Linked DNA regions of Mus musculus. The protein of the gene in region 1 interacts with the protein of each later gene in a biochemical or structural test. Links are inferred from orthologs where the notes say so. Each region holds a gene or a part of one and is shown in the gene's direction. Other genes may lie near its edges. The genes, in order: Erbb3, Nck1, Hck, Fer, Sh2b3, Nrg1 and Abl2.

Region 1 (4,438 bases):
TGCTGGGATTAAAGGCGTGTGCCACCATGCTCGGCTCATTAGCAAGTTTAAAGAATCATTGCAAGAGGGTGAGGTATGGGGGAACCTGAAAAGATGACTCAGTGTTTAAGAGCACTTGTTCTTCCAAAGAACCAGGGTTAGACCCACATGGCAGCCCACAATAATTTGTAACTCCAGTTACGAGGAATTCAACGACTTCTTCTGGCCTCTACAGATACCTAAATGGGTTTGCAGAGAAAGCCTGTTGACTTGAGTTCCATCTCACAACCCCGGTAAAAGTGGAAAGCGATAATCGACTCCCCCAAAGTTGTCTTCCAGCTTCCATACGCATATCATAGCGCGAACGATCATACACACAGGAATGATAACAAATTTTTTTAAAAATTGTAGCAGGAGAGCCGGATATGGTGGCGCACATCTGTACTTGGGAGGTGGAAGCCAACAGTCTCAGCCATATAATATATTCGAGGCCAGCCTGAGCTATATGAACTATATGAGACCTTGTCTCAAAACCAAAAAATAAACAAAAGAGAAGAAAGGAGTGTAGCTGATAGCCTTAGCCTAGGGGGAGGGGACCATAAATTCTCAGGGCAAAATCTTGGAATGCCAATGTAAGGGATGCGAAATGTAAGGAGTTGGGCACCAGGGGGCGCCAGTCGGACCCGTCCGGGACGAAGCAACCCAGGGTCCCGGGGGTCATGTGCGGTGACTTCCCCGCGCCCCTCTTCGCTGTCGCCTCCGGGGTGAGCGTTGCTGTGCCCTTTGGGGTCCGCGGAGGAGAGGCGGGAACCGCGGCCGTCCGGACGGCGCGGTCGGTCCCTCAGAGACAGCTGTTCTCTCGGGAGGCCGTGGGGGGCAGCAGAGGGGACGGCGACAGGTGCGGGAGCCCCTCCCCGGGCAGAAGTGGGAAGGCGGACTCCGGGGTCTGTTCCCAGGCTGGAAACCGCCCCCGCCCCCCAGGCAAATCCCCCCGAGAGGCCGAGCCGGCGCCGGGTCTGCAGGAGGAAGCGGCCGGAGACAGTGCGATTTCACGCAGCCTCCGGGGCTCGGGTTCCCGAGCTGGGTACATGAGTTACGGGGCTTTGCGTCCCGGGGAAACTGAGGTGGCATGAACGCTAGGCTGAAAAACAACCTCCCACTCGAAAAAATAGAAATACTCACACTCCGAAAGAAAAAAAAAATCCCTCAAGTGATCCAACCGGCTAGGGGAGTTGAGTGATTTGGTTAATGGGCGAGGCCAGCTTTCTGGGGGCTGGGCTTCGGAGCGCTCTCCCTACGCGCATTCACTACCTTTCCCCCGCCTGGGGACGTTTGGAATCTTGATCTCCTCTTAACCATCTCCGGGGGAAATTGCTGGAGTGAGACCCCTCCTTGACCCTCTTGGCCAAGCTGTGGGCTGGCGGGGCACGCTTGGGCGGGTGTCTCGGGCTACAACCATCAGGACTCCAGCCTCGCACGGGAGGGGGCGCGGCCGTGACTCACCCCTTTCCCCCTTCACTCCCTCCCTCCCTCCCTTCCTCCCTCCCTCCCAGACAGACACCCTCCCCTGCCGTCCCGCTCCGGACTCCGACTACGGCTCCGGTTGCAGTTTGCAACCTCCGCTGCCGCCGCGGCCACCTAATCGCTGGCTGTTCAGGTGGCTGTCGCCTGGATGTCCTCCTAATCTTGGGGGCCCCGGGCCAGACTCGGCTGGGCTCCCTTCACCCTCCACTGTAATCATGAGTGCGATTGGGACTCTGCAGGTGCTGGGTTTCCTTCTCAGCCTGGCCCGGGGTTCCGAGATGGGCAACTCTCAGGCAGGTAAGCCGCGCGGGAGCCCCAGCAGGCTGGAAGCTGGGGGCGCAATCTGAGCGCTCGCAGACCCTGGGCAAGGAGTTTGGGTTCTGACGCTTTGAACTGGGGGGTGCGGTACAGGGTCTGCTCGGACCACCAAGGAGGGGACCGTGTGCCTCAGTTCTTGGAGTGGGCTGGTCAGGGACTGCATTCCTGTATGCCTACCCTTATTCCCAGGGCGTCGCCGACCCTCTAATTGGTTTTATTCTGATCTGGTTGGTGCCGAACAGTAGTTCACACTTGAGAGTCTTGGGAGGAGGGTGGGCAGGGACCCTTCTGTAAACGTAAGGAGCCTTGGCTTGAAAGGGTCTCCGTTTGCTCTCAGGTTCCCTGGCCCCCACCCCATTCCAGGTTTCAACAACCCCCAGTTTCGTTGTTTTGCCGACAGGGCGGGGCTATGCAAGGGTTTGAAGTTGTTGTTTTCTAATGTTGGAAAAACAAGAATGGCACCTCCTCTTCCGTGAGTGGGGCTGTCCTGAGAAGGCTGAGATTAACCTGAGGGCCAAGTCCAGGTGACATCAGTGAGAGGTCTCACAGAGGCTGACTGCCTGCTTTCCCATAAGATAAACCGGTCCCCAACTTAACCAACTTCTCTTTATCAAGACCCAGGTTAATTCAGTGAACATGTTGGGCATCTATTACATACTATACTATTTCCAGGTTATATACCCTAAGCTGGAGCTCTGGAAGAAAGGACAATCAGACCTCTTTCTCTCTCCAATCTAAGGCCACCTCTCCCACCTTCTGAACATTCTACTCTGTGAACTGGCTCCTAGACCCAACTTCTGCCCTTCCCCCATTCAATGCCATCTGAGCCTGTTCCGTGTCTCTGGGACTATGGACACTTGAAGAGCACTAGAATTGGTATCATTAGAGTCCTGTTGATCTTTCCCCTTTCCCAGATCCCCAGATCTCAGTTTGGGGTTGGCACATTCATTGCCCCTTCCCCAGAGTGGGAGTGGGAGAAACCACCTGTGCTTCCCCCACAGTTGCTGGGCCTAAATTTAGCCCCTGGGATCTTGAGATGTGAACACTCCCAGCTGGTGGAGGGGGTGGTCTGGAGACTGAAGTGGGAGGGGCCAGGGGAGTGACTGGATCACTGTCCCATCTGACTGTGCCCCCACCAACCAGGAACCCAAGAGTCCAAGATTCCCACCACCCTCCTCAAGAGGCAGGGAGCAGGCATGTTTAGTTCTCTATCCTTTATCTCCATCCTGAGCCTCTGGGCATCCGGCCCTGTCTCAAGCCTTGTATAGCCCCTTTGTCCCCTTGTGTGTGTGGCTGGGGCTTCTGAGGGCTGGAGGTTCTTGGTCTGCGCAGTCAATGCTCTCCACAGAGAAAGGTTCTGACTTTGAGCCTTTGCTCCTCTGTGAGTGTGGTCCACCCCACACCCACCCGCAGTTCTCGCTGCTTCCTGTGCGCCCCAAGTTGCCTGGTTCCTCCTGGGTAGTTGTTTATACTCCCGTCCTACCCAGGCCCTTTGCCCCTGTTTGTGAAATGTGGACTTTACCCTAAGGGTGGCAGGTAACCGAGACAGACCTGTAGGGCCTTGCAAAGCACAAGACACAAAGTGTGCAAGGCATTGTGGGCAGGTGGGATGGACTGGACACTTGTAAAACTTCCCAACTCGGGGCCCCAGGGGCAAACAATATATATTTCTGCACCAGAGTAACTGTGTACGTGTTTGTGTGCCAGCATGCACGCACAGGTACACATCATTTCCCTATGCAGATATCTTAGCTCCTCCCCTATCTGAGGAGAAGGGTTGGCACCTTAACTTGGAAGAGGGGTGTCCTGCCAGGAAGGGGACAGGGGTGGGGCACTTCCAGAAATGACTAACCTTCCCAGGCGTTTATTTCACCCCAAGGACCCTGGAGCTCCCAGATTTCTCTAGGAGAGTCTAGCTTGTTTATGCCTCCTTGCTGGAACTGGCCCACTCCTTCCATCATATGAAGAAAGGATAAGGAAGAGGATCTAGAAGAAGGGGTCAGACCAGACATAGATCTAACAGGAGAAGCTGAGGCCTCTGACTCGCTCTCTGCCTCCTGCCCCGCCTCAGGGAAGGGTGGTTAGAACAGGTGGTTGGTGGTGTACCCCTTACCCCCACCCTCCCCACGTGCTCTTACTGCGCCAGAGGAAAGATACTTAGAGCTCCAGGGAGGAAAGTGAAAGCCCAAGAACTGAAATGTACTGTACTGGCCTCTCTTTTGGGCTCTCTCCCCTGGAGTGTCTATTGGGGAGCACTGCCATGTTAGCAGTCTCTTTAAAGAATCCTTCTGGCAGTGAAATTGGGAAGAAGGCTTGGGAGTGGAGGCTCTGTTCTGCTTCTCTCCAGACCTCTCTGTTTGGTGAAAAGCACTTCGGGACTGCACAGGGATGCCTGCTGCCGGGGGAGCTGGAGCATGCTGGCTTAGGGGAAGGGAGTGAGAAGGGAAACCAGAGTTTAGGAGAGGGGAGGCCACCAGTTCCTTATCATCCAGCTTTAAAGACAAAGCTCCCATTGACCCCACCTCCCCACCCCACTACCAGGGTTTCTCCCTCCAGTGAGGTCACTTTTCTGAGGCCAAAGCTCCAGGGTGAGAGGGGGGTGCTGCTAAGGATGGGG
Region 2 (3,929 bases), on another chromosome or scaffold:
AAGCCGTTCACCTTTTCTCTGAAGGCTCTTTTCCTTTCATTTAATTGGCCTTAAAAGTTCAGTAAGTGAATCTGATATCCTGATGGGGCTTTGATTAATCCAGTTGCTTGAAGCTAAAGTTAGTCTCCCAAGTTATATTGCTAAAAATAACAATAGGTTCTAATAGAAGGATAATCCAAGTATGCTCCAAACAGGAGACATTAAATTCTGGAATATATAGTTTGTCAGCAAATAATATTTTTCCAAATATTCATTATTAATTTTACACACTTTTCTAGAAAAAAATTCAAGACAGTTGTCAAGTATCAAAATAAAGTCCATTAAGCTTTTATAAATTAGGTGTGGTGTATAAGGGAGAAGCCATAGTTCTTTAGCCTATCTTTGAAAAATATCCCTGCTTCTAGTTTTCCAGTGTTTCAGAAAGCTGGCTGCTCATTGTAAAATCAATCAAAATCTCTCTCTCTCTCTGTCTCTGTCTCTGTCTCTGTCTGTCTGTATGTCAGAGGTTGAGTTGACAACTACATGCCTTCTTTAATAGCTCTCTACCTTATATTTAAGAATTTAAGAAAAGGTTTCTCACTGAACCTAGCTAGACTGCTAGATGGGCTGGCATTAAATTCTGGAATGCTACCTCCTAGGAATTTTCTGTGCCCAACTCTGGGATTACAGTTGTGTGCTGCTACATCTGGCATTCTTAGGTATCAAATTCTTCCCCTGGTTTGCATAGCAGGCACATTAGCACCTCCTCAGCTTTTATTCTAACTTAAATCACAACATATGTCAGTAATAATTTAGATTCTTTGTGCGTAAGTAATTTCAGACCGTCAAGTTGCAGTAATACAAGTAGCGTCCCCTCACTCCCTCCCCCAAATTTCTCTGCTCATCTATGTTTTTCTCATGATGGCTATCAAACCCTTGAGGCCTTGTGCATTCTGGGCAAGAATACTACCACTGATACTACCACCTTCCTAGTTCATCAGTGTTTCTTATACACCATGTTGTCTCTTTTTCTTCTTTTTAAAAGCATTTTTGTTGACTTAAGTGATTCCCTTACAAAGCATAAAACAATGTGTGGCAGATTTTGAGGCTTTTGCAAATCCTTTGTCTGTATCTATCTTGTTGACATACTTAGCAAAAGGATGTTGAATTCTGGATTAAAGTACTTACTTCATTGTTGAGAAAACTGACATGGTAGTCAATACCCAAAATAAAAGGCTGAATTTATTTGCTTGCTTCATGAGGCATATCTGCTTTTATGAAACAATCTCTCTGAAGAAAGCAGAGTGAGATCAAGTCTAAACTTACGTTTCAGGACAGTGTTTGCATATATATATATATATATATTTTAAAATAATGCATATAAGTTAGGCAGTGGTGGCTCATGCCTTTAATCCCTGCACTCAGAAGGCAGAGGCAGGTAGATCTATGGCATCGAAGCCAGCCTGGCCTACAAGAGTGAGTTCCGGGATAGCCAGGGCTACACAGAGAAACAGTGCCTCAAAATACAAAACAAACCAACAATTCAACTAACTCATTCAATTATATTTTTTTATTTTTCATAGAGTTTGATCATTGTATTTTATTGTCCTCAGATTTATTTATAAAGTTGTTTGTGTTACTATTCCCTTTGACTGTTTGCAGTATACAGTTGCGGTTCCTAGTATTTGCATGTTCTTTTTCTTTTTCTTAATATTTCCAGAATTGTCATTTTAATTAGAGAGGGGCTTAGAGATTTAACTCCTGAGTGTTAAGTGGCTATGGCTAACAGCCCCAACTTTAACTAAACATCTCCTTCATAAATTCTTTTGCCAGTTACATGAAAGTTTAAAATAATTTTTAAGCCAGTTTATAAAGTAATGGGCTTCATTATTCCAGTTTAAATATTTATTTTTAATATTTTTAATTTATTTGGTGTGTGTGTGTGTAAGAGAGAGAAAGAGAGATAAAGAGGAGAGAAGAGATGGAGTTACAAGGGGTTGTTAAAATGGGTTGCTAGTTGCCTGAGGTAGGGAGTCGGAACCAAATCTTGGTTCTCTGGAAGAGTGGGAAGTACTTTTAATAGCTGAGCCATTGCTCCTGCCTTTATTACTTCATTTTTCATACACATTTATCCGTTATACTTGGTTCTCAGTCCAGAGAACACTATAAAAGGAGAGAGATGTTTTTGAGATCTGAAATGTTGTCTAGGCCTCAGAGTTGTGATGCTGCTGCCTCAGCCTCCAGGCGCTGAGCTTACGGCTAAGACTTTGTTTAGCCTCAGACTGATGGTTTTTATGTGTTCCATATATGTTCTTTTGTTTAGAAGTAACATTTTATATAGGCCGATTATATCTCACTAATACAGTGTTATTTATAACCTTGATGCTTTTGTCTCCTTGATTGTTTTGTTAATTGAGATAAATATGTTAAAAATTATCCCTTATAATAATGAATCTGTTATTTTCTCCTGTAGTTATACCAATATATTTTAATTTTGTACTTTATAACTTATATGGGAAGACAAAAGTGTTCAGAAAGCATCTGTTATTTGTTGTATACAAGTTTGATTTTATCTACTTTAAGAGGAATGTTCAGTTGTCTGTGTAGTGAATTTCATTGCTAACGGTGGTTTTAAATGTAAGTTAGTTTATATAATACCAAATAGGAACAAGTGTTTTTTAAAAATTAGTACTTGCCTGTTAGCATTTTTCATATCACTTTTAACTTTTTGATACTCTTAAATTTATTTCTTTTTTATAGTATTGGGAATTGAGCTCAAAGCTGTGCACGGGCTAGGAGTATCTACTACTGAACTGCATAGTGCCCCGCCCATCTCCTGTTTTGTATATTAGTTTTGAGACAGGGTTTTACTCTGTAGCTTATTCTAGCTTCAAACTTAGTATGTAGCCAAGGCTAGCCTCAGCCTTATGAAAGTCCTCTTGCCTCAGCCTTTTGAGTGTTAGGTTTGCTGGTATGAGTCATAATTCCTGGCCTCTTAAATGTTTAAGCATGTCTTTTTGGACAAGCATGTAGACAATTACACTTCAGCACCATTTAAAACATGTTCTATGTGTTACAGTGTTGACGCTGCTGAAAGATGGCTGAAGAAGTGGTGGTGGTGGCCAAATTTGATTATGTGGCACAGCAGGAACAAGAGCTGGATATCAAGAAGAATGAGCGATTATGGCTCCTGGATGACTCTAAATCCTGGTGGCGAGTTCGAAATTCCATGAATAAAACAGGTTTTGTCCCTTCTAACTATGTGGAAAGAAAAAACAGTGCTCGGAAAGCATCTATTGTTAAAAACCTGAAGGACACCTTAGGTAAGTTGTTTCTTATTGAAGGAGAAGCAACAGCTTTCATTTTAGATCTTAGTTTTGGCTTTTTTTTTTTTTTTTTTTTTTTAGATTTATTTATTTTATGTATATAAGTACCAGAAGAGGGCATCAGACCCCATTACAGGTGGTTGTGAGCTACCATGTGGTTGCTGGGAATTGAGCTCAGGACCTCTGGAAGAGCAGTCAGTACTCTTAACTTCTGAGCCATCTCTCCAGCCCAACTTTGACCTTGTTACAACAGCTCCTGTGGAGTTTTGATTTGCAGAAAGTTTGCCACTAGTTGAGAAAGGAAAAGAATGCCTGGCGTTCAGACTTGGTTCCTTTGTATCCTGTTAACCTATGTTATGTGGCACATTATTGAACCTTTTTGACACGCTAATGAATCTCACTTAAAAAACAAATCACTTTATTTTATTCTAACTGAAGAGAGTTTTATACCAGTGGGTTATTGCTGTATATTCGCATCTATAGGATTGGTCACTTTGCACTTTTGTTGACGTCTTTCTTTCTCTAACTCTGTGTGTTTGGTTCAGATTTTTTCTGCCTTTATTAAGTAAGGCAGATGGGGGGAGCCTACTTCTCTCTGGCCTTGGTTAAGCTGAAGGAAGGAAG
Region 3 (3,929 bases), on another chromosome or scaffold:
ACAGAGAGACAGAGACAGAGTAATTTATTTTATTATTTTTTTAAAAGAAAGTAAGAGTGAATTTATTGAGTCAGGCCTAGTGATATATGCCTACCATCCCAGCTATATATTGGGACAGGAGGACTCAAGTTCAAGGCCAACCTGAACAACTTAGTAAGACCCTGCTTCAAAATAAAACGTGAGAAGGGGGCTGGGATATAGCTCAGTGGTAGAGCATTTTCCTAGTATGAGACCCTGGTTCAGTCTCTAGTTTGAGCATGTGTTGGAGGTGACCTTGGTGGATGACAAGGACAGAAAAGTAGGTGTGATCAGGCCAAGCAGAGCCTATGGGGCATAATGAATCTGGTAATTGTTTCAAGGCAGCGTTAAGCTTACATGCTATGCAGGCTCATGTTGCAGTCTAACTGGTGGCTTAAGGGTTACTACCCAGGGATTAAACTCAGTATCCTGTATGCGTTAAGCAAGTTCTGTGCCATTGAGCACCAGTCTCAACTCTTGTCTTCTGAGTCATGGGCTGGCCCGGAGCCTCCAGTCCTCCTACTTCACTGTCTTGAGAGTGACAAGTGTCTAGAATGACAGGCATGTGCCCCAAGCCCAGACTGGAGGATTTTATAAGTCTTGCAAATAGCCCTTCAGTGAGAGTTTATCCCTTCCACTTAGTGGGTGAGGAAGACAGCCCAGAGAAGGTAGGTATTTCAGTTGTACTCAGCTAGGCAGGGAACCGGTGTCCAGGCCTCTCTCTCTGTCTTAAAGGCTTAAGATGGGCAGGGAGGGCTCCTCCAGGGCTGCTGGGTCCTAACCACCCTCCGTGCTCCATGCTTTCCCCAGCCACCTACAACAAGCACACCAAAGTGGCGGTGAAGACAATGAAGCCAGGGAGCATGTCCGTGGAGGCCTTCCTGGCTGAGGCCAACCTGATGAAGTCGCTGCAGCATGACAAACTGGTGAAGCTACACGCTGTGGTCTCTCAGGAGCCCATCTTTATTGTCACGGAGTTCATGGCCAAAGGTGCGTGGGCAGGGATAGAGTGTGGGCCAAGCTGACTCCTTTCAGTCTCCAAGATGGCCTTGGCGTGGCTCTTCTGGCACAGCCACCTCATAGAGCATCTACACTCCAGCCTCCTGGCTGGCAGAGTGCAATCCTGTGAAGGGAGCTCGGTGGAGAGGAGGGGCAGGGGCTGCAGAGCCTCTGGGCGACAGAGGAATCACATGGCTTCCTTGTGACTCGTACCTGGGAACCTCAGTGCTGGGCTGTAAAGAAGTCTTGCTCCAAGTTCTAAGGGACAAGAAGCCACATGGAGAAAGACCATAAAGGTGCCACTTCATCTTGAATGTTCCACCTGTGTCACCTCACTTCACAGTGTGGTTGGTCCTGCTATGACCAACCCACAGAATCATGACAATGTCCGTGTTGTCACTTCAGGCTACTTAGCTTTGGGCCACTGTATCCTGGGATTATTCAGCATATTTCAAGAATGTTTGAGAAAGGATTCCACTCTGTAGCCCAGGTTGTCCTGGCACTCATTATGTAGCCCAGGCTAGCCTCAATCTCGTAGCTGTCCTGCCTCAGCCTCTCAAGTGCTGGGATTACAGATGTGTGTCTCCACACCCGGCTTCTCAGAGTTAGTTAGTTAGTTAGTTAGTTAGTTTTAGAACAGCTGGTTTATAGTCATTTTCAGTCCCTGGTCATTTCTGGATAAACATCTCATACAACAACATCCAATGTGACTTGAAAACTCAAAGCTTTTTCTACTTTTCAAGTCTACTTTACAAATCTACAACCACCCAGCTTTCTAAAGCAAAGCCCTGGACACCCAGGTCCATGGGGCCGCATCAACCAAAGAGTTAGTAAGCAACTAAAAAGTCCTTTCAGAAAAATTCAAGCTCTAGCACTCAGACACTAGAAGCAGTAAGTAGATGTGTCTTTAACTAGCACTGCAGCTGGGCGGGGATAAATGCTGGGAGTCAAGACTAATCTACTAGCTAAAGTGGAAAAATAGCTGGAGCCTGGGAATCGGAGACCAGTCTGAACAATATAACAAGGCACTATCTCAAGAAGAAAGTCATACCTGGCTTGCCTTTAATCACAGAACTTGAGAGGCAGAGGCAGGCAGATCTCTTTGTGAGTTCAAGGCTGGCCAGGCTGGTCTACAAATCTACTTTCAGGACAGCCAGAATGACACAGAGAAGCTTTGTCTCAAAAAACGAACAAGAGAAAGGAGGAGGAGGAGGTGGTTAGCTGGAGATGTAACTCAGTGCTTGCCTAGCATGTGTGAGGCTCTGGGTTCAGTCCCTGTACTGCAAAGAGGAAAGATCTCTATTGCTATGAAAAACTGTTACTTATTTCTCACTAAGGAGCAGTAGTCCATGTTCCTTCTCACTCCCCTCTGCAGGAAGCCTGCTGGACTTTCTCAAGAGTGAAGAAGGCAGCAAGCAGCCACTGCCAAAACTCATTGACTTCTCAGCCCAGGTGAGTTGTGCCAGCGATAGTCAGGAGAGGTGACAGGAAAGGTGACGTCATTTGTGTTCTCTGTGTCTTTCATGTGAATACTCATGCTCCCCACACACAAGGACTAGTCACAGTACTCCAAGTACTCAAAGACTTCTGTATGCTAAAGTCCCTTATAGAAAATAGTATATTTACTGTAAATATACTATTTTCCCTAGGCACATTCCCCTGCATGCTACTTAAAGCATCTCTAGCTGGCCTATGGAATCTAACACAAATGCTATGTAAACAGTTATTATTTCGTATTGTATAAGAGATAATGACCACTTAAAGTCTATAGACAGCATTTGATTTAGAATATTCTTGCTGTGCGGTTGGTTGCGTGCAGATGCAGAACCCATGGATACAGACTGTTCTTCATATGAACCAACTCATACAGTGCTGACATCAAAACTACGGAATTTTTCATAACAGGTTAATTATTTTATTATATGGGTCTTTTGCCTGTCTATGAGTCTGTACTACATGAATGTCTGCTGCCCTCAGATGTCAGAGGAGGGTGCCAGATTCTCTAGAGCTATAGTTATAGGTGCTTGTGAGCCACCATGTGGGTGCTAGGACTGAATCCAGGACCTCTGGAAGAGCAGCCAGTGCTCTTAACCACTGAGCCATCTCTCCAGATTCTGGAATAATTTTGTTTGTTGATTTTTGGTGTGAGGAATGGAACCTGGGGCCTTGTACATGCCAAAGAAGGACTACATTTGAGCTACGTCACCATCCATGTAAGTCATCCATTCTTATGTAACAGATAAAGGCTTAGTAGCCTGAAATGATAACACTGAATATTTCCCATGATTCTCTGGACTGACTATAGCAGGCTAGATGGAGCACTCTATGCACTGAGGTGGCGTGAGGAGCATGTCCAAGGTGACGTTCATTCTTACAACTTCTCCCTGTGTAGCCTCTCAGCACTCAGTATTTCTTCACAGCCCAGTATCAGAGCTCCAAGTGGGACCTGTCCAAGGTGCAAGCAGTGGGTAAGCCTCTGTTTGCACTGACTTATCAATGCCCTATTGGCCAAAGTCAGTCACAGCAGCCAAGCCCAGAGTCCTGGCAGGCAAATGTAGGAAGGTAATTGTCATTCCGTCGTCCTACAGACCTGAAATCGAGGTATGAAGAATTTAAGTACAAACTGCGCACAATGGTGAATGACTGAAATCGTAACAGTCAGGAAGCAGAGGGAAGATCAGGAGGGCCAGGCTAGACTTGAGCTGCAGAGTGTGTCATTAAAAAAAAAAAAAAAAAAAAAAAAAGTGAAGTTCAGATGAGGAAACTGAGCCCAGGGAGGCTCTGCAGCTGGCCTAAGCTGCAGGGCTGATTAGAGGGAGGGGGTGGCTCCCACAATAATGACAATGGCAAACACCACTGGCTTTATGCAGTTTACTTGTAGATGAGACCACAGGCATTAAAGGAAGGGCTCT
Region 4 (3,929 bases), on another chromosome or scaffold:
GAAAAGACCTGATGTGTAGAGAAGAAAAGTAATTTTCCTAAGCCAGCAGCACTGGCAATGTCCGTAATTACCTCCTAGCTCAGCCGGAAGCTGATTTCCACAGCTGCGGTGGATAATGAGTGTGTGCTGCAGGCTGAGGACTGCACCCCAGCACAGGCAGACTCTCGGCCATTTTACTCTCTTCCAGAATGGAAGAGGCCATTCTGTTTTAGAGGAACATGACCATTTTCTAGGAGTGTCATTTACAAATCCTGGGGTAGCAGATGGATAGGAAATGCTATGGTTCAAGAGACCTTCATGCTATGTGTGGTGACATATGCCTGTAACCCAGCACTGGAGAGGCAGAGGTAGGAGGGTCTGGAGATAAAGGCCAATCTATATCATATACACATAGACCTGTGTGTGTGTGTGTGTGTGTGTGTGTGTGTGTTTCACTTCAAAAACAAAATGCCATCAACATTACTGCAGGTGGGGTTTAGTTGTGACAGTGTGTATGTGCCATGTGTTAGACTGGGAGGGACGTTTCTGCTGCTTCTCCCTGATTTCCTATCCATCCCCACAAGGCTTCCTGGGTAGGATTTTATCTCTGTGCTTCTGCTGAAAGCGACCAAAAACATTCCTAAGAGTTCAGCTTATGTAGCTCAATAAAACAGGTGCACCAAGATATTTTGACAAAACAAGACACCATGTAATTTGAAGAACTTGTTTTTATCAGCCAGCTATGTTAATTTCCAGTCTATTCAGACCACATGGAGAAATGTATTTTCTGCAAATGAAACTATCGGTAGAGAAAATGAGACCTTTAAGCATGTAAAACTATCTACAAACAGTGATGAGTAAAACATTGAAGTTAAGAAACTTTCCTTAATGCTTTAAGTTTGTTATTTTACTGGAAAGAAAATGACACAGACAGAAGACCAAACTGTAGGAATCTGACTTATTTAATCTCCTAGGCATTGATATGTGCAAGTGTGTGTGTTTTTGTGTATATATGTATATGTATATATACATATATGTGTATATACATATATGTGTGTATAAATGTGTATATATACACATATGTGTGTCTGTACACACACACCATCCTCATCCACATATCACAGGGGACATAAGCCTGCATGCTGGCTGAATTCTTGTTCTTGGGGAAGGGAAGACATTTTGTAGCTCATTTAGTTGAACTAGCCTCCTGAAGACTTCACTTGATTGTTACCATTACTAGCCCTGGCATTAAGGCGAGTACTGAGAACCGAGAACGGGATGTTGCTGTGGTGTCCTATGGAAGCCTGACTGTGCTGTGTGGAGGCTGACGAGCTGACACGCGTAGCCAGAGCCACTGTCTTCTCATCCCATTCACTCACCGGGTTATCATTATCTCCTCCCTTTCAGGGAGATACAGTTCTGAAAGTGACGTGTGGAGCTTCGGCATCCTCCTCTGGGAGACCTTCAGCCTAGGAGTCTGCCCGTACCCTGGAATGACAAACCAGCAAGCGCGAGAGCAAGTGGAGAGAGGTGAGCCAAGGCCTTAGTGCTTCACGTCGGAGTCCACCAGGCCAGTGGTGCCCGCACACTGGCTTTGGGAGAAGAATCACAGTGCTGTTTAAGACACAGTAAGGAGGAAAGATGTTAGAGAAGTCTGTTTTGGAATACTATGGATGCTACGGCTCCTACAGAACAGAAGCAAACATTTGCAAGCCTGTCTGACCTGTGGCCCTTAGGTAGCTTCCAGCTAAGCATAGCTGTGAACATGGCAACACAACTGTAAATGTATTTGAAGCATTCTTGGTTCTGTTTGTTTTTTGGGTGTTTGGTTTTGTAATTTGTTTCCTAACGTAATTGCACAGTTCTTGAGTGTGAACTGTGTACATAGCAGTCGTGCCGCTGTATCACAGTAAGTAAAGGCCAGGTGCTCTCAGCACGGGGAGAGAGAAAGAAGGTAGACTGCCTTAGAGAGGTGTTAAATTCCACATCAGATAAGTCCCTTAATTCTCCAAGTGAAAATGCTTCTAGTTTCCAGAAGGAATTCCAAGAAGCTGTGATGTAAAGAAACACCAGGGTGCTCCAGACAGAGGCGGGGTGACAAGATGGCAGTAGCACCCACACATGCTTGTGTGGGACACAGCTTCCAACAAGAGGGATGTTGTTCAGATGACTGCCTGAGTGTGGGGGTGGCCCGCCTTCCTTCCCTGAACCCACACCTCCTAGCACAAGCCCCAATGCTGCTAGACACCAGCCTGTTCTCAGCTCACTGTTGAATGTGTGTATAAACCCCAGCCACGCCTGCCCTGTCTGTTTGATCATTATGGAAGCTACTTCTTAGAACAACTAAAATAGGCTTTTATATATGCTAGGCCTACTTCTGACTTGCTGACAGGTACGTGGCTCTGTAGCTGTGTGCTCTGCGCCACCCACATGTGCGAGCTCGCCAGCGCGTTTACGACACTGGCGCAGGTCTTTGCTCTCTACCCCACTCACTGCATAAGGGACAAACATTCACACAGCATGATGCCCTTACCCCCTTTCTGAGCTCTCAACTCTTCTCTTGCATCTTCAGGATACCGGATGTCAGCCCCACAGAACTGTCCAGAGGAGGTTTTTACAATCATGATGAAGTGTTGGGATTACAAGCCTGAAAACCGCCCTAAGTTCAACGACCTTCACAAAGAGCTCACTGTCATCAAGAAGATGATCACATAGTGCCAGCCAGGGCTGGATGCCACCTGTAGGACTCTGTCCTCAGTCACCCCCACTTTATACCACCTTACTGCAACCATCTTTGAAGGTTATGTTTTTTTATTAACTGGGTTTTTAAAGTATGTTCCACTTTAAACTATGTTAAAGGCAAATCTATTCAAGAAATAAATAGTCCTACCCAGAGCCGTATTAGCTAACCACAGCAACCCTGCCATTTGATACCGCTGTAAAGAGAAAAGCACAGGACTAATGGTAAAGGCCAAAGAAAAAGGCCTGCCTTTAATACCTAGGTCCATTGGTGATCTCCAAGGTTTTCTACTCTAGGCACAGCCTGTGGGCTGCTGTCTTCTGCCACAGGCCCTCCTCGGTTGGTGCTATAAACAGCCTTGGTAGCGCATGCTTGCAGGACACGTGCCCACCACAGTTGCTCTCCACTCTGCCAAGGCGAGATTATATCTATAAATATAATCATATATTGGGAATCATTTGGACTTCCTAGGGTTTCTCTTTCTTTTCTGTCAGAACAAGCCCGGTGAGAACATCACACTGCCGTGTCATTTTGTCTTTTACTTCCCCAGTCCAGGCTACAGAAAATGGTGCACAGAAAATTTCCAGAGAGTTCAGGGCACAGAGGCAGCAGCTTCTGCAGGACACTGCAGAGGACAAGGATGACAGGAAGCATGTGTGGGCAGCTAGCCAGTGTTCACCAGGGAGAAGAAAGCAAGAGTGCCTGCCTTCCTCCCAGACGTACGCCTTCAGAATACCCTATATCTGGGTCTCAATTCCCTAACAAGGTCTAAGAAATGTTCAGGAGTTCATAGAGCCCAGTGGAAACGTTCTTAGATACTAGCGTCCACAGGAAGAGCAGCATGGTTCTGATTGTGTGTCTTCATCCTAGGAGACAATCCCAGAATGAAAGTCCCTCTACTTGTACCAGTTTCTGGGTCTTCAGAATCCATGATGCATGGTTACAAACACATCCACATATATCTACTGAAGTGCAGGGCTGCTGTGAATGAAATGGACAGGCCAGATGTCAAGTCAGCATTGATGATGAAAATCTCTAGGGACACCCACACCTCTATCTCCTCTTTTCCACTAAAGCCACTCCCTGGAAATCTTACTGATAATGCACAGGTATACAGCACAGCATTAAAGTGTCGCCCGTGGATCTAATGTACATCAGGTAAAACCAGGCTGTGACTGAGCTCAATCTCAGCTGTGTCAAGGACTTTCCC
Region 5 (4,410 bases), on another chromosome or scaffold:
ACCAGAGTGGCGCCCCCACGAGGGAATCACTAACTGATGTCCACAAACACCTTATAGTGCCTAAGACATTGCCTTGGCTCGTTTTTTGGGGGTGGGTGGGTGGGGGCTTCTTCCAAGCCATTTTGCTACCAGGCTCCAGCTTGCTGCCGTCCGATTGTAGTGGAAATCCCCACCTACGGGGGAGTCCCTTCTTCGGGCTCCAACAGCAGGCCCGGGGACTGAATTCAGCCCGGTTGGTTAGGCTGCTCTAATGTGAGCAACTCACTTCTTCCAGTCCCTGAGTGGGCTGGAGACACGTGTTATTTCCATTTCATAGATGAAAAAACTGAGTTGGAGGGGGTCAAATATTTGGTCCCACGCAGCAAGGGGAAGGCTCCAGGGAGCCAGCGGCTCGTGGGAGCCTGTCGTCTGGGAAGGCTTGCAGTGGCCCCTCCAAGCTGGGGGCGTGGGCGGCCTGCTTCCTGTTGGGGGAGGGGGAGGGGACAGGCATTCCTCTTTCCCCTCCCTCCGTAGAGTCGCGGGGAAGACTGGCGTGCAGTGAGTGACTCCACTTCAGAACAGGGGCACCCCACTGTTAGCCAATGTGGCGATAGAGAAAAGGTAAAGGGCTAAGGGGCGCGCAGGCGTGGACGTTCAAAGGGCTCGGCTGCCTGGGATGCGAAGGAGCTCTTGGAGAAAGTTTCATCAAGCTAGAGAATGCGGCCGGGCGGCCAGGTAGAGAACAGCCTACTCGGCCCGTTCCGGGACTCCGAGGACCTTAGGAGGGGAGCGGACTTCAAATGGATGGCGCCGCGGAGGCAGGACGGCTCGGCGGAGTCATGGATAGTGGGGCCAGGGTGGGGCTGGCCCCTTCCCCTGGAGGTGATGAAAACCGCGGTCGCAGTTGCTAGACCCGGCCGGGCAAGCTCAGATAAGGTTGGGCTTGGAGGGAGTCCGCAGGGGCGCGCCCCTAGGAGGTCCCGAAGGTCGGGGCAGCCACGCCCATCGCGCGCCTAGCCCCGCCCCACCCCTTCTAGGGGCCCCGCCTTGCCGAGGCACGCGGTGACTGGCCAGCGCGAGAGGGGCGGGACCGAGCACGCTCCTCCCCTTCGAGATTCTTTATTTTATTATTATTTTTTTTCCCTTCTTTAGGGGGCGCGACGCAACTTGGGTGCAGAGAGCGCGCCTTATGGGGGCGGAGCTTGTCGCTATGCTACCTCCCACCGGGCAGCGGGCGGAGGCGCGAGAGGAGGGCGGGGCCGGGATAGGCTCCGCCCCCGGCCTCCGCAGGCGGCCCCGGGGCGTGGCTCTCTGTGGCCACGCCCCCAGGCCGCCCTCCGCCGCCGCGCGCGGCTCGCGGCTGGTTCCTCTTTACATAACGGCGTGGGGCGGCATGGGCTCGGGCCGTCGCCTCCGCCTGGCCGCTCTCCAGCCCAGACTGTCACGGGCCACACGGGGTCCACATCGGCGGCGGCAGCAGCAGCAGCGTCCTGGGGACGGCCCGAGGCCGCGTCCCCCGGCTGCTGTCAGGAGCTGGCGGCGGAAATGAGGCGCTGGCCGTTTTCCGAGCCGGGGTTTCCTGCCTGAGCGCCGAGAGGCCGTGCGACGCCATGGGCCGGCCGGGCCCCGACCCGCAGCTTGCGCGGTAAGCGCGGCCCGCCGAGCGTGTTGGAGGAACTGGGCCGGGCGGCCGTCCCCGGGTCCCGCTTCTGTTTTCTGGCGTTTCCTCATTCTGTTTCTCTTCCCCAATCCCAGACCGCAGTGATGTGGGCGCGGAGGTCAGTGCTTTCAGCTGGGGCCTCCGGAGAGGAGCCTGGCGGGGCGCCGCGGGAGGAACCGAGAGCTGTCCCGGCACACAGCGTGCTTGGGCCCCTGCCGGGGGGGGGGGTGTGCTGGCGGTGAGGGTGGGAGGGGGGGACACGTGTGTCACTAGTGCCCCGGTGATCAACCAAGGATGATATGCGGAGTCCTAAAGGTGAAATCAGCCAGAGATGGGGGAAGGGGGTGGGACAGGCCATGACAGGCCAGGGCCCGCTGGGGGAAGTTGAGGTTATAAGAGTTTTATGCTCTTAGGACACTTTCTGAACCTTGTTCCCCAGGCCTCCTCTGGGAGGAAACGCCATCTGAGCCAGGAGGGGTGAATACATTCTGGAACTTGTGCAGTCCCAATGGGTGGTCAGCTGGGAAGGGGCTGGCCCGCAGCAGCGGCAGCAGCTGTGGTTTGGGGATCTCAAGGGCTGGGCAGTGACAAGAGAGGAAACCGAGGGTCCTAGAGGCAGAACTTGTGTTCTTTCTCCTCTGCTCTCCAAGATGAGGGTCGCGACCTCAGTTTCCCCGCTGTTCAGTGAGTGAGAAGAGATTTGTGGTGCAGTTACAATGAGGTGGAGTTTTAATGAATGCTGTGTGGAAGGCACCTGCGTCCGGCTGGGAGAAGGGCTCAGTTACAGGCCGTTGGGAGAAGACCTCAGTTACAGGCCGTTGGTTTTCAGACTGTCCAGTTTTATTGACCCTGGCCCTGGGACCGTCCTCGGCTCTCTCCTGAGCATAGCTGCTCTGGGGTTTCCCGAGTCTGTGGGCAGGGAACTCTGAAGGACCCTGGGCAGGGTCAGATGACAAACCCCTTCCTGGCCTGGGTTCCCTCAGTTGACACCTAACTTGTGAGGGCCACCAGAGCACAGGATGGCTTGATCAGGAGGGCAGGCAGTCATGACAAGGGTGTTATCTGTTTTGTTGAGGTCATTTGCTGCTCCTCTTCCTTCCTGACTCTCTGGCACCAAATGTCACCCAGTGCCTGGTCCTCATCGTTCAAAATGTTCTTAGAGAAGTGACGGTCCTTTCCTTTGAGTAGCTGGGCTGTGCCATCAGCTTGTGTGCCTCAGGCTGTCTAGGCTAGTTGGGCCACCATCTGGTTTCTCCCACTTCTGCGATAGAGCTGAAGGTGCTTGGGAGCCCCTTCCGGCTGCCTGGGCCTGTATCACACCCTTTCCAGAGCAGGTCTCTGGGGGTCCAGCCCACATTGTGAGGCTAGTCAGCTGCTGAATGTCCCATTGCTGTGACTCTTTGGGTGGGCACTTCTGTGAGGCAATGAAAAAGTCATCAAGAGCGGGAAGGGTTTTAACTGCTGGCACGAGGAGATGGGACAGATAGTACTGTTAAAACTAAAACGAGAGGTCTTTCCTTTCAAGTCCTCATTTCTCCCTGGAGCAGCACTTGTGTGGAGACTAATCCAGACTCTGCTAGCTTCAGGGGTGAGGCCCTGGGCAAGTTACCTGACATCTCTTGGGACCTGCCCAGTGTCAGCCAAGTCTTGTGCCTCTCTAGGTGGTTGTGCACTATGTAGGAGCCCAACAAGGAGAAGACATTTGAAGCAGGTAGGCAGTAACTGGCCTGACTCTGAGATCTTAGGCTTGGGTTGTGCTGTCTCAGAGTTACAGGTGTTCTTGGAAGTCTGAAGTGGAGGTGCTGAAGGACAGAGTCGGGGAGAGGCATGCAGTATTGGCATGTTAGTGCTCAATAAATTTAAGCTATTGCTATTAATCCATTGCTATTAATCCAGGAGTGGCTGGCCCTTAATTGCCAGGTTTCCTGGGAAAACGGTCCCCAGGGCCCCTTGGGTGTTGAGCATCTCTGGTTGGGCAGAGCAGGAAGCAGCTTCCATCTGGAGTTTCTGGAGGGGCTGCTCCTTCCTGCCAGGCCTGTTCCCGGCCACCCACCCTCCCCGAGGAAACTGAGGCTGGCACACCGCTTAGGGGAAATGACTCAGTGGGGGTCACTAGCTGAGTCATACCTAGTTGGACCCAGGAGCCTTGCACCCCAGCTTCCAGCTTCCGGGGGCTTGAGGTCCTTCAGGGACCGGGTACACCTCAGGCCTGGTTGCATGCCCTTGGGCACTGTTAGACACCACCTGCTTGCGCCCCATGATCTGGACAACCTGTGTCTCTTGGTCAGTGATCTAGGGATCTCAGTGACGCCCCCGCCCCCACCTCCTGCATTGAGCTCTCCAGCCCAGTACCATTCTCATTGGGACAAGAGACAAGTCCCTAAGGGACCTGATGGCCTGCCCCGCCCTGGCCAGCCGGAAACCCCAGCAGCTGAGCAGATGGCTGAAAGATTTTTCCTCCCACACAACCCTGTCAAGGGTCGGCAGGGGGGCCAGCCCCCTGGCTTCCTTGTGAGCCAGTCCTGGAGCCCCTTGGGGCCTGTCCGGATGTGCCCCCCCTAGCTGCTGGGGGGGGTGCAGCTTGGTCTCCAGGGAGGCCTGGAGGGAGGAAGTCTGTGCCCTGCTTGTAGGGCTGACTCACGGCAGCTGACAGGGGGGTGGGGGGGCCAGACTTGGGAGTGGGGGCTCAGTGTAGCTTCTAGACTCAGAAGGTAGAATTGCCTTTCAGACACACACTGGTGGCATCTCCAGAGTCCCTAGGAGGGGAGGGG
Region 6 (4,503 bases), on another chromosome or scaffold:
TGGAAGAGTGGCTTAAATGTTCAGATGCACAGACAGACACTGGAACACCACGGAATGTTCCCTGGAGCCTGTGCTCTCTCTTACAGTGAGTTTCTTCCATTTCTTCCAGTACTTCAAGTCCTGTTTCTAAACAAACAAACAAACAAACAAACAAACAAAAATCAGCATGGAAGCTATCTGTAAATCACAGTTTCTGAAACCTAATCCACAAGGCACGCTCTGATTGAAAATTCTCAATACTGGCAGTGCGATTATAGCTGAGGAGATGTGGTGTGTATTACAGTGCCCAGGGAATTCAAGCCTCCTCTGCAGTGTGGAGTCAACATGAAAGGCTAATTTGAAAATGAAGCGGTAGATAGCGTAAGTGTTCCTCTTAGGTTGACATTATTCTAGCTTACTCTGGATGGAATAAGGAGGACTCAAATGTAAAGAGCAGGAAGACACTCGGGACTTTTCCCCTTCCCCCACCCCCCCTCACACCCCGCCCCGCCCCCGCACACACTCAGCATTTCGCTCTGAGCATTGAAAAAGTCTTTAGCCACAAGAAGGTGGCTGAAGGAAGAAGGCAGAGCTGTCCATGGTTTAGAAACAGTGCTCTAACTGCTGGTTGAAAACCGGGTAATAAGAGTCCTGTTAGTGAACAAAACTTATTAGAGAACTGGCTACGGAAGGAAGGAATGCCGCTGAACAGCAGGCAGGAAGAAATTGCTGTTGAAAAGCCTACCTCTCTGGGGAGGAGTCAGAGATCAGACTTTGCCAAGCCTCAGGTCTAACCCAGAAGGTCCCCACCTCCACCCCCCACCCCATCCCCCTCCATCCCAGCTTTGTTAGATTGCTAGCATCATCGATCCCTGGCTTTTTCTGACCCCACAGTGGGTGAAGAGGAGAGAGCCAGCAAGACTGAAAGCAAGCAAGGTGGAGTGTGGGATGGGAGACTGGGGCCTGCTTTGGTAGAGGGAAATTAGAAGGGGGGGGGGGGGAGGAGGCCGGGGGAGACCCAGTTTAGCTGGTTCCCGGCTGCTTCTCTTTTCTCTGGCCTTTATTCCTTGTAATTGGATAAAATAGGAACTCACTGGCGGACCTGCGTTGCTGGGTATACTGTACTTATTAGAGACCAGCTAGCAGTAGAGTGGGGACTGGGGGTGCGGGGCACAGGGGAGGGAGGGAGGGAGGGAGGGAGGGAGGGAGAGGGAGAGAGAGAGAGAGAGAGAGAGAGAGAGAGAGAGAGAGAGAGAGAGAGAGAGAGAGAGAGAGAGAGAGAGAGAGAGAGAGAGAGAGAGAGAGAGAGAGAGAATATATCTTTAGGAGGAGGAGGAGGGAAGAAGAGAAAGAAGCTATGAAGAAGGAAGATTGCAGAGGAAAAAGTGACTGAGCGCAAGAAGGACAAAGAGGAGTGGTTGGGGGTGGGGGTGGAGGCAGGGCGGGGAAGGGAGTTACCGCCCCTCCTGGCTCCTCCTGCCCTCGCATCCTTGTGCAATGGTACTGTTTGCCGTGATGCTCAGAGGGCAGGCACCTGCTGCTCTGTAATGATTCAGCCTCTTTCAGCCGCTGCGTTAACACGACAGGATGCTGTTGCTACTGTCGCTGCTGCCCCTCCTGCCGCCGCCGCTGCTGCTGCCGCCGCCTCCTCTGGTCTTGCTTTTGCTTTTACTTCTCCTGCATGACAGTTGTTTTCTTCCTCTAAGCAGACACCAGCTTCAGACGCTTGAGGTGAGAAACATGCCTTTCAGTTTGGGATACTGGTTTACTTAATCAGCTAGGCATCAGCTTGCTTCCTCTTTTGGTCCCCTGCCTTCTTGAACCAACCGGGATGGTTTGGAGAAGCCTTTGAAAGAACTGAAAAAGTGTCCCAGAAACAACAGCTCAAGATATTTCGGTACACTTCTATTTCATAGTTGCTAGAAGCCCTTCCTTTTTCGTTTCTTTTTCTTTTTTTTTTTTTCCTTTTTTTTTTTTTTTATCTTTTTCTTGCTTCCTCTTAAGCTCTCTTACTTTGGATAATGGCCTTGGACTTGGGTGCCTTATCGATTTCCCCCTTCAAGATGCTGTATCATTTGGTTGGGGGGAGCTCTGCATGGTAATGCACTGTGAGAGAGGCCGGGCCTTCTGGAGGTGATCCGGATGGAGATTTATCCCCCAGACATGTCTGAGGGAGCTGGCGGGAGGTCCTCCAGCCCCTCCACTCAGCTGAGTGCAGACCCATCTCTCGATGGGCTTCCGGCAGCGGAACATATGCCAGACACCCACACAGAAGATGGGAGAAGCCCTGGACTCCTGGGCCTGGCCGTGCCCTGCTGTGTCTGCCTGGAAGCGGAGCGTCTCAGAGGGTGCCTCAACTCCGAGAAGATCTGCATTGTTCCCATTCTGGCTTGTCTAGTAAGCCTCTGCCTCTGCATTGCTGGCCTAAAGTGGGTATTTGTGGACAAGATATTCGAATACGACTCTCCTACCCACCTTGACCCTGGGGGGTTAGGCCAGGACCCTGTTATTTCTCTGGATCCAACGGCTGCCTCCGCTGTTCTGGTCTCATCCGAGGCATACACTTCACCTGTCTCTAAGGCTCAGTCTGAAGCCGAGGCTCATGTTACAGGGCAAGGTGACCATGTCGCTGTGGCCTCTGAACCTTCCGCAGTACCCACCCGGAAGAACCGGCTGTCTGCTTTTCCTCCCTTACACTCCACTCCACCGCCCTTCCCTTCTCCAGCTCGGACCCCTGAGGTGAGAACACCCAAGTCAGGAACTCAGCCACAAACAACAGAAACTAATCTGCAAACTGCTCCTAAACTTTGTAAGTAGTGAGAGAAAGAAAGGCGATGGTGGCTTAAAAGAAAGGGTGGGAGGGAACTTCCAGAAGGCAAACTCTAGAGGGTTAGCTTTTTCCTTTGAGTTTGCATTTTAACCGGGAGGTTTTATTTGGTGAATCACGTGACAGGGAAAAAAAAACAAAATAAAGCAATTTTATAAACTCCTAGGATGAATCAGGTCTTTTAACAGCAACTCCATGTAGCCAGGTTGTTAAGTCTGAGGTTGTCAATTAAGAACTACAAGCATCTTTGAAGTTGGGCTTTGGATGTAAGCTAAGGTCAATTGATTTGCTATAGTTTTAGAAGTTAATATCTGACTGTCCTTCATATTTTAATAGGCATGTAACGTCGGTGTGCCAATAAGTATTATTTGGTATTGCGCCTGCCATTCAGTAGAGTTTCTTTCGACTTTCTTCTTCCCATTCTGTTTCCCCGGAGCCCCAAGCTGCCTGTCATCTTTCTCCAGCTCTTCTTCCTGCCTCTTTAGTACATCTCTGCACGTCTGAATTGTCATTGTTTGATTCTGATACTGCAGCAAGTCTGAAAGACACAGTCCTCCCTCTGCTGTCCTCAGACCTGTGCCGTACATACATTTGGTTACTGAGAACTGACCAGAGGCAGTTTGTATTTTGTTCAAGACAGACTGCAGTTTTCCACAGAAGGATTTTCCTAAATGAGTTTTGTCTTCTGTAATCAAGCATTTAAGTACATTCCTGCCCAGTCGTTAACAAGGTACCTCTTTCTTTTTTTTGAACGTGTGTCATTTAACCCCATCTTGTTGCCAAAGCCTGGCTTAATAACTTGTGTGGGAAAAGACTCCACGCTATTAAAACAATCCAGAATGAAACACTGGTGTGTGCAGAGGTCATTGCCTTAGCTTTATGATGGAAAGTTGACAGCCATGAGATGATGACTAGCCAGATTGTCCCAAATGTCAGCACTGAGCTGGGTCTTTTGGTTACAATATTTAAAGAAATGTTTTTAGTGTTTTCAGTTCCTGTCTTTCCCACTCTTTCTTATTACCATCGATGAGTTTACTTAGTAGGAAAAAAAACCCCTAAGATATGAGAGAATTTGATTCTCAACAATGCATGTGAAACACTTTAGTGTTAGAAGGAGCTGAGGGTAGAGAGTTTATAATAAAGCGCCTCTTCAGTTTTCCCTCTAGACCGTAAGGAAGAGTAAATAAGACCTCCTCCATGCAGTGCTGTTTAGAATGAAGTTGTGCACTATGCTAGGGAAACTCAGGAAAAAAAAAAACAAACAAACTTGATATGTGCACTCCATTCAAGGTTGTTTGACATCTTCCAGCTTCAGTGTAAAGACTTCAAAAGGATGCCTGCGTTTCGTTTCCAGGTGTAATTGGGAGAGCCTCCTGTATGCAGATACCACTTTGCATCTTCCATCAAATCCCTAAAGCATCATTAAAAATCTGACAGACTCTCTGCCTTTGCCGCCTCTCCCCACCTGGCAAAGTGACCGGGAAATAATCCCCAGATGAAATGATGGGCTATAAAAAGCAAGTGCAGTTCCTGCAGAGAGGCAGCATTCTCCACGCAGGCCGACAAGGTTACCTCTTTGTCTTTATTGTTTTCAACAGAAAAAGCTTCAGCTGAGATATGCACGCATTGGTTGAAGTGCCCAGAAAAACTGAGGAGGTAGCTCTTTGAGAAACTCTTCCAGACCAACTGCAATTTTG
Region 7 (3,929 bases), on another chromosome or scaffold:
TTAAGAGTCCTTGCCAGCCCCCACTGCTCCTCTAAACAGTTTTCTTGCTGAAAACTCTTGGTTGAGTCTAGGGTCTTGGGAGGTGTTTGCTTATATTGATGGCTTTGTTGCTTTGGTATCATCTGAAAATTTAAGTAACTTTGTATTTCACATGATGTCCTGTTCATTAACAATGAATAATTATGTATGTATGTGTGTGTGTGTGTGTGTGTGTGTGTGTATCTGTTTTAAGTGAAAGTAAAATGTGTTGTTTTTTTGAGGAGTAAGTACTGCTCAAGTGTTAGTACATGTCTGTAGTCCAGCATTCAGGAGACTGAATTAGGATCACGAGTCTGAGGCGAGCCAGTCTAGACTAAGTGAGACTCACATAAAAGGAAAAGGGTGGGCAGGTGGGCTGGGCTGAAGGCTCAGTAGTTAGCGTTTAGTGCTTTTTCAGAGGCCTGGAGTTCAGTTTTCAGTACCCATGTTGGGTACCTCACAACTGCCTGTTACTCCAGTTCCAGTGACCCCAACCCCTCTTTGGGGGACACACACAGACACTCAGTCACTGTCATTTTCTATCTATTTGAGTAAATTCTGTATTCTAATTTAATACAATTCATCGTTTCTGGAAGACTTTTTAAGTGATATGTAATCCTTCAGAAACCATTCTTTTGTTAAGCTGCTCAGAGTAGAGATCAGTCAGGATGTTAGTAAGCAAGAACCCAAGTCCTTGGTTCACTTTTCAGTGATTTGCAGTTTGACACTACACTGCTGCAGTCTGACAGTCCTAACATGCCTTTCTTTCTGTGATGACTTGATGGCTAGGTGAAAAGCTGCGAGTCCTTGGTTATAACCAGAATGGCGAGTGGAGTGAAGTTCGCTCCAAGAATGGACAGGGTTGGGTGCCAAGCAACTACATCACTCCAGTTAATAGCCTGGAGAAACATTCCTGGTACCACGGACCTGTATCCCGCAGCGCAGCAGAGTATCTCCTCAGCAGCCTAATCAATGGCAGCTTCCTGGTTCGAGAGAGTGAGAGCAGCCCTGGGCAGCTGTCCATCTCTCTCAGGTATGAGGGACGTGTGTATCACTACAGGATCAATACCACCACAGACAGCAAGGTAAGACCTGTTCATGTGGACTGGCTCTTCAGTAGGAAGGGAAAAAATAGAAAATAATTTTTATATCTGATATAAAATAAAGTATTGCCTAACCTGGTGAGTTTGGGCTATTTAGCATATTAGAGCTTGCTTATTTCAAAACAACTCAAAAAACAGTTAAAAGCTGTAGATAAGCCGGGTGTGGTGGCGCACGCCTTTGATCCCAGCACTCGGGGGAGGCAGAGGCAGGCGGATTTCTGAGTACTAGGCCAGCCTGGTCTACAAAGTGAGTTCCAGGACAGCCAGGGCTACACAGAGAAACCCTGTCTCAAAAAACCAACCAAACAAACAAAAAAAAGTTGTAGATAATTAAGGGTAAGTCATATTTGAAGTTGAGGATTGAAGAGATTTACACAGGTTAGCTGTTTTAATCATCAGCATAAACGCACACCAAGTGCATAGAGAAGACGTTAGAAGTCAACCACAAGCCTGTGGAAGGAGACTCCGGTCCACTAGAGAGGTCACAGAGTGAGAGGGTGTTGGAGGCTGCTGTTCTCATCACTGTGTGCTAATGGCAATAGATGAATTGCCCAGCCAGTCTGCGTAGAGTGAATGTGTTACACAGATTCTTTAGGGCCGCAGAGACCTGGGTTTGATTTACAGTACCACATGGTGACTCCCAACCATCGGAAACCCCAATTCTGGGAGATCCAGTGCTCTCTTCTGACCTCCATGGGCACCAGGTATATGTGTGGTGCACAAACATGTGGGTAAAACACCCATACATATAAAATAATAATAGTAATTACATTTTAAAACAAAATCAAACATAAATTATAAGTTCCCAACTTAAACCAGTTGTTCTATTGAATGGTTCGTGAAGTTGAGCCCCCTTTCCTCCCTCAGTAGGACGGACAAAGTGGGAGGGGCATGTGGACAAAGTGGGAGGGGCATGCGGCCTTAGAGCAGGCAGAACTGCTGTGCTTTGTACCTCACCATCATTTATTAGCTGTGAGACTTTCCTTAAGTCTCAGTTTGGGTGGTGGGGGTGGGGGTGGGGGTGGTGGTGGTGGTGGTGGTGGTGGTGGTGGTGGTGGTGGTGGTAGTGGTGCTGACTTAGATCGGATCTCTCTGTGTACTGGAACTTGCCATATAGACCATACATACAGATATGAGCTTGTAGCAACTGTCCTGCCTGTCTGAATTCAGAGTGTATGATTATAGTGTGCACCACCATACCTCCTCCCTTTGCCCTCATTGACTTTTGATTTATATTAATGATGTATCTAGAATATGTTGTGTGTTCCTATGGGCTGGTTTGTGCATATGGGTGTAATACTCACACAGGCCAAAAGAGGGCTTTGGAATCCCCAGAACTGGAATGGGTGCTGGAGAAATCTCTCTTCAAGAGAATTGAACTGCAGGGCGTGGTGGCACATGCCTTTAATCGCAGCACTCGGGAGGCAAAGACTGGTGGATTTCTGAGTTCAAGAACAGCCAGGGCTACACAGAGAAACGGGGGGGGGGGGGGGGTTGTGGAGAAAAAAGAAAGAAAAGAGAATTGAACCACTAAGTGATGTCAGTCTCCTCCTTGTCTGTTATTAAGTCATTTTGTGAGATTATTGTAAGGATTAAATGAAACAGTTTTTGTAAAGTATGAAGAAAGAAAAGAGAATTGAACCACTAAGTGATGTCAGTCTCCTCCTTGTCTGTTATTAAGTCATTTTGTGAGATTATTGTAAGGATTAAATGAAACAGTTTTTGTAAAGTATGAGAGCTGATTCAGCACAGGAAATATTTTATTAGTTCTCTTTTCTTTTCTTCTCTCTCTCTCTCTCTCTCTCTCTCTCCCCCCTTTAACCATTATATAAGTATATTGTTTGTGGCCCAAGTGAGTGGTATCAGAGTAATTAATATAAGAAGAAATGCGGGCTGGGTGTGGTGGTGCACTTTTTTAATCCCAGCACTCAGGAGGCAGAGGCAGGTGGATTTCTGAGTTCGAGGCCAGCCTGGTCTACAAAGTGAGTTCCAGGACAGCCAGGGCTACACAGAGAAACCCTGTCTTGAAAAACCAAAAAAAAGAAGAAGAAATGCAGCCATTATTAGTTGTTTTGCTTTTGTTTGTCTCTGTGACAAATATCACAGAGAAACGGTGAAGAAACAGGTAATTTTCACTCCTGGCTTCAAAGAGTTCAGTCTACTATCAATGGTTCTATTCCCTGTAGGCTGTGGCCAGGCAGACCACCATGGTGGGGTCATGTGGCGTGTGGTAGAGCAGAGCTACTCCCTCCATAGCAGAGAAAGGGAGCAGAAGCAGCAGCAGCTGACTGACTGAGCCCATGAGCTCTTCAGCATGAGTCTGTGGGGGACACTTACATCTGCTCTCTAACACATGCACAACAAAAACGAGCGCACAGATGTGTCAGACCATGCAAGGACATTAATTCACAGCAACAGTGTTTATGATAGCCTCACAATCGAAGTACCAAGTAGCATAATTGACTAATAAATTATGATATATTGTTAAGATAGAATCTCCTACAGAAACAGAAATAAACACGATGCTATAGACACAAGTCCGTCCTACCAGCTGTCTATCCATTTCTGAATTTTCTGAAGCTACTTTGTATTTCTAAGCAGACCTGAGTAGTTGCTATAGGAACCCTATATAGCCCCAAGTCTAAGATGCCTGTTTTTCATCCCTGTTCAGAGAATTTTTCTACCGTCTCCTATAGATGAGTTTCGTACGCATAAAGTTGACCAATAGATTAGTATTTGCCAGAGAATTGTGTGGAGAGGAGTGTGGGCGTGATCCCTAACAGCTCTAAGTAACTGTGCTGGAGTTAG

What was found.
Region 2: the proteins of Erbb3 (region 1) and Nck1 form a complex in vitro, tested with the Homo sapiens proteins (2 studies listed by BioGRID and IntAct, with this or other methods). The link is inferred for Mus musculus from reciprocal best matches to the Homo sapiens genes ERBB3 and NCK1.
Region 3: the proteins of Erbb3 (region 1) and Hck form a complex in vitro, tested with the Homo sapiens proteins (2 studies listed by BioGRID and IntAct, with this or other methods). The link is inferred for Mus musculus from reciprocal best matches to the Homo sapiens genes ERBB3 and HCK.
Region 4: the proteins of Erbb3 (region 1) and Fer form a complex in vitro, tested with the Homo sapiens proteins (2 studies listed by BioGRID and IntAct, with this or other methods). The link is inferred for Mus musculus from reciprocal best matches to the Homo sapiens genes ERBB3 and FER.
Region 5: the proteins of Erbb3 (region 1) and Sh2b3 form a complex in vitro, tested with the Homo sapiens proteins (2 studies listed by BioGRID and IntAct, with this or other methods). The link is inferred for Mus musculus from reciprocal best matches to the Homo sapiens genes ERBB3 and SH2B3.
Region 6: the proteins of Erbb3 (region 1) and Nrg1 form a complex in vitro, tested with the Homo sapiens proteins (8 studies listed by BioGRID and IntAct, with this or other methods). The link is inferred for Mus musculus from reciprocal best matches to the Homo sapiens genes ERBB3 and NRG1.
Region 7: the proteins of Erbb3 (region 1) and Abl2 form a complex in vitro, tested with the Homo sapiens proteins (2 studies listed by BioGRID and IntAct, with this or other methods). The link is inferred for Mus musculus from reciprocal best matches to the Homo sapiens genes ERBB3 and ABL2.

What each region holds. Positions count from the first base shown.
Region 1 is NC_000076.6:128,586,782-128,591,219, reverse strand, and holds the start of Erbb3 (receptor tyrosine-protein kinase erbB-3 precursor), read left to right. Parts: upstream 1-1,584; 5' UTR 1,585-1,718; coding exon 1,719-1,800; intron 1,801-4,438. UniProt on the Homo sapiens protein: Tyrosine-protein kinase that plays an essential role as cell surface receptor for neuregulins.
Region 2 is NC_000075.6:100,507,802-100,511,730, reverse strand, and holds part of Nck1 (cytoplasmic protein NCK1), read left to right. Parts: intron 1-3,058; 5' UTR 3,059-3,076; coding exon 3,077-3,302; intron 3,303-3,929. UniProt on the Homo sapiens protein: Adapter protein which associates with tyrosine-phosphorylated growth factor receptors, such as KDR and PDGFRB, or their cellular substrates. Maintains low levels of EIF2S1 phosphorylation by promoting its dephosphorylation by PP1.
Region 3 is NC_000068.7:153,135,870-153,139,798, forward strand, and holds part of Hck (tyrosine-protein kinase HCK), read left to right. Parts: intron 1-828; coding exon 829-1,008; intron 1,009-2,392; coding exon 2,393-2,469; intron 2,470-3,929. UniProt on the Homo sapiens protein: Non-receptor tyrosine-protein kinase found in hematopoietic cells that transmits signals from cell surface receptors and plays an important role in the regulation of innate immune responses, including neutrophil, monocyte, macrophage and mast cell functions, phagocytosis, cell survival and proliferation, cell adhesion and migration.
Region 4 is NC_000083.6:64,136,324-64,140,252, forward strand, and holds the end of Fer (tyrosine-protein kinase Fer), read left to right. Parts: intron 1-1,386; coding exon 1,387-1,509; intron 1,510-2,551; coding exon 2,552-2,694; 3' UTR 2,695-3,173; downstream 3,174-3,929. UniProt on the Homo sapiens protein: Tyrosine-protein kinase that acts downstream of cell surface receptors for growth factors and plays a role in the regulation of the actin cytoskeleton, microtubule assembly, lamellipodia formation, cell adhesion, cell migration and chemotaxis.
Region 5 is NC_000071.6:121,833,764-121,838,173, reverse strand, and holds the start of Sh2b3 (SH2B adapter protein 3), read left to right. Parts: upstream 1-1,314; 5' UTR 1,315-1,624; exon of another isoform or gene 1,625-1,757; intron 1,758-1,914; exon of another isoform or gene 1,915-1,954; intron 1,955-2,069; exon of another isoform or gene 2,070-3,350; intron 3,351-4,410. UniProt on the Homo sapiens protein: Links T-cell receptor activation signal to phospholipase C-gamma-1, GRB2 and phosphatidylinositol 3-kinase.
Region 6 is NC_000074.6:31,915,822-31,920,324, reverse strand, and holds the start of Nrg1 (pro-neuregulin-1, membrane-bound isoform), read left to right. Parts: upstream 1-1,481; 5' UTR 1,482-2,121; coding exon 2,122-2,788; intron 2,789-2,822; exon of another isoform or gene 2,823-3,536; intron 3,537-4,404; exon of another isoform or gene 4,405-4,503. UniProt on the Homo sapiens protein: Direct ligand for ERBB3 and ERBB4 tyrosine kinase receptors. Concomitantly recruits ERBB1 and ERBB2 coreceptors, resulting in ligand-stimulated tyrosine phosphorylation and activation of the ERBB receptors.
Region 7 is NC_000067.6:156,624,481-156,628,409, forward strand, and holds part of Abl2 (tyrosine-protein kinase ABL2), read left to right. Parts: intron 1-807; coding exon 808-1,103; intron 1,104-3,929. UniProt on the Homo sapiens protein: Non-receptor tyrosine-protein kinase that plays an ABL1-overlapping role in key processes linked to cell growth and survival such as cytoskeleton remodeling in response to extracellular stimuli, cell motility and adhesion and receptor endocytosis.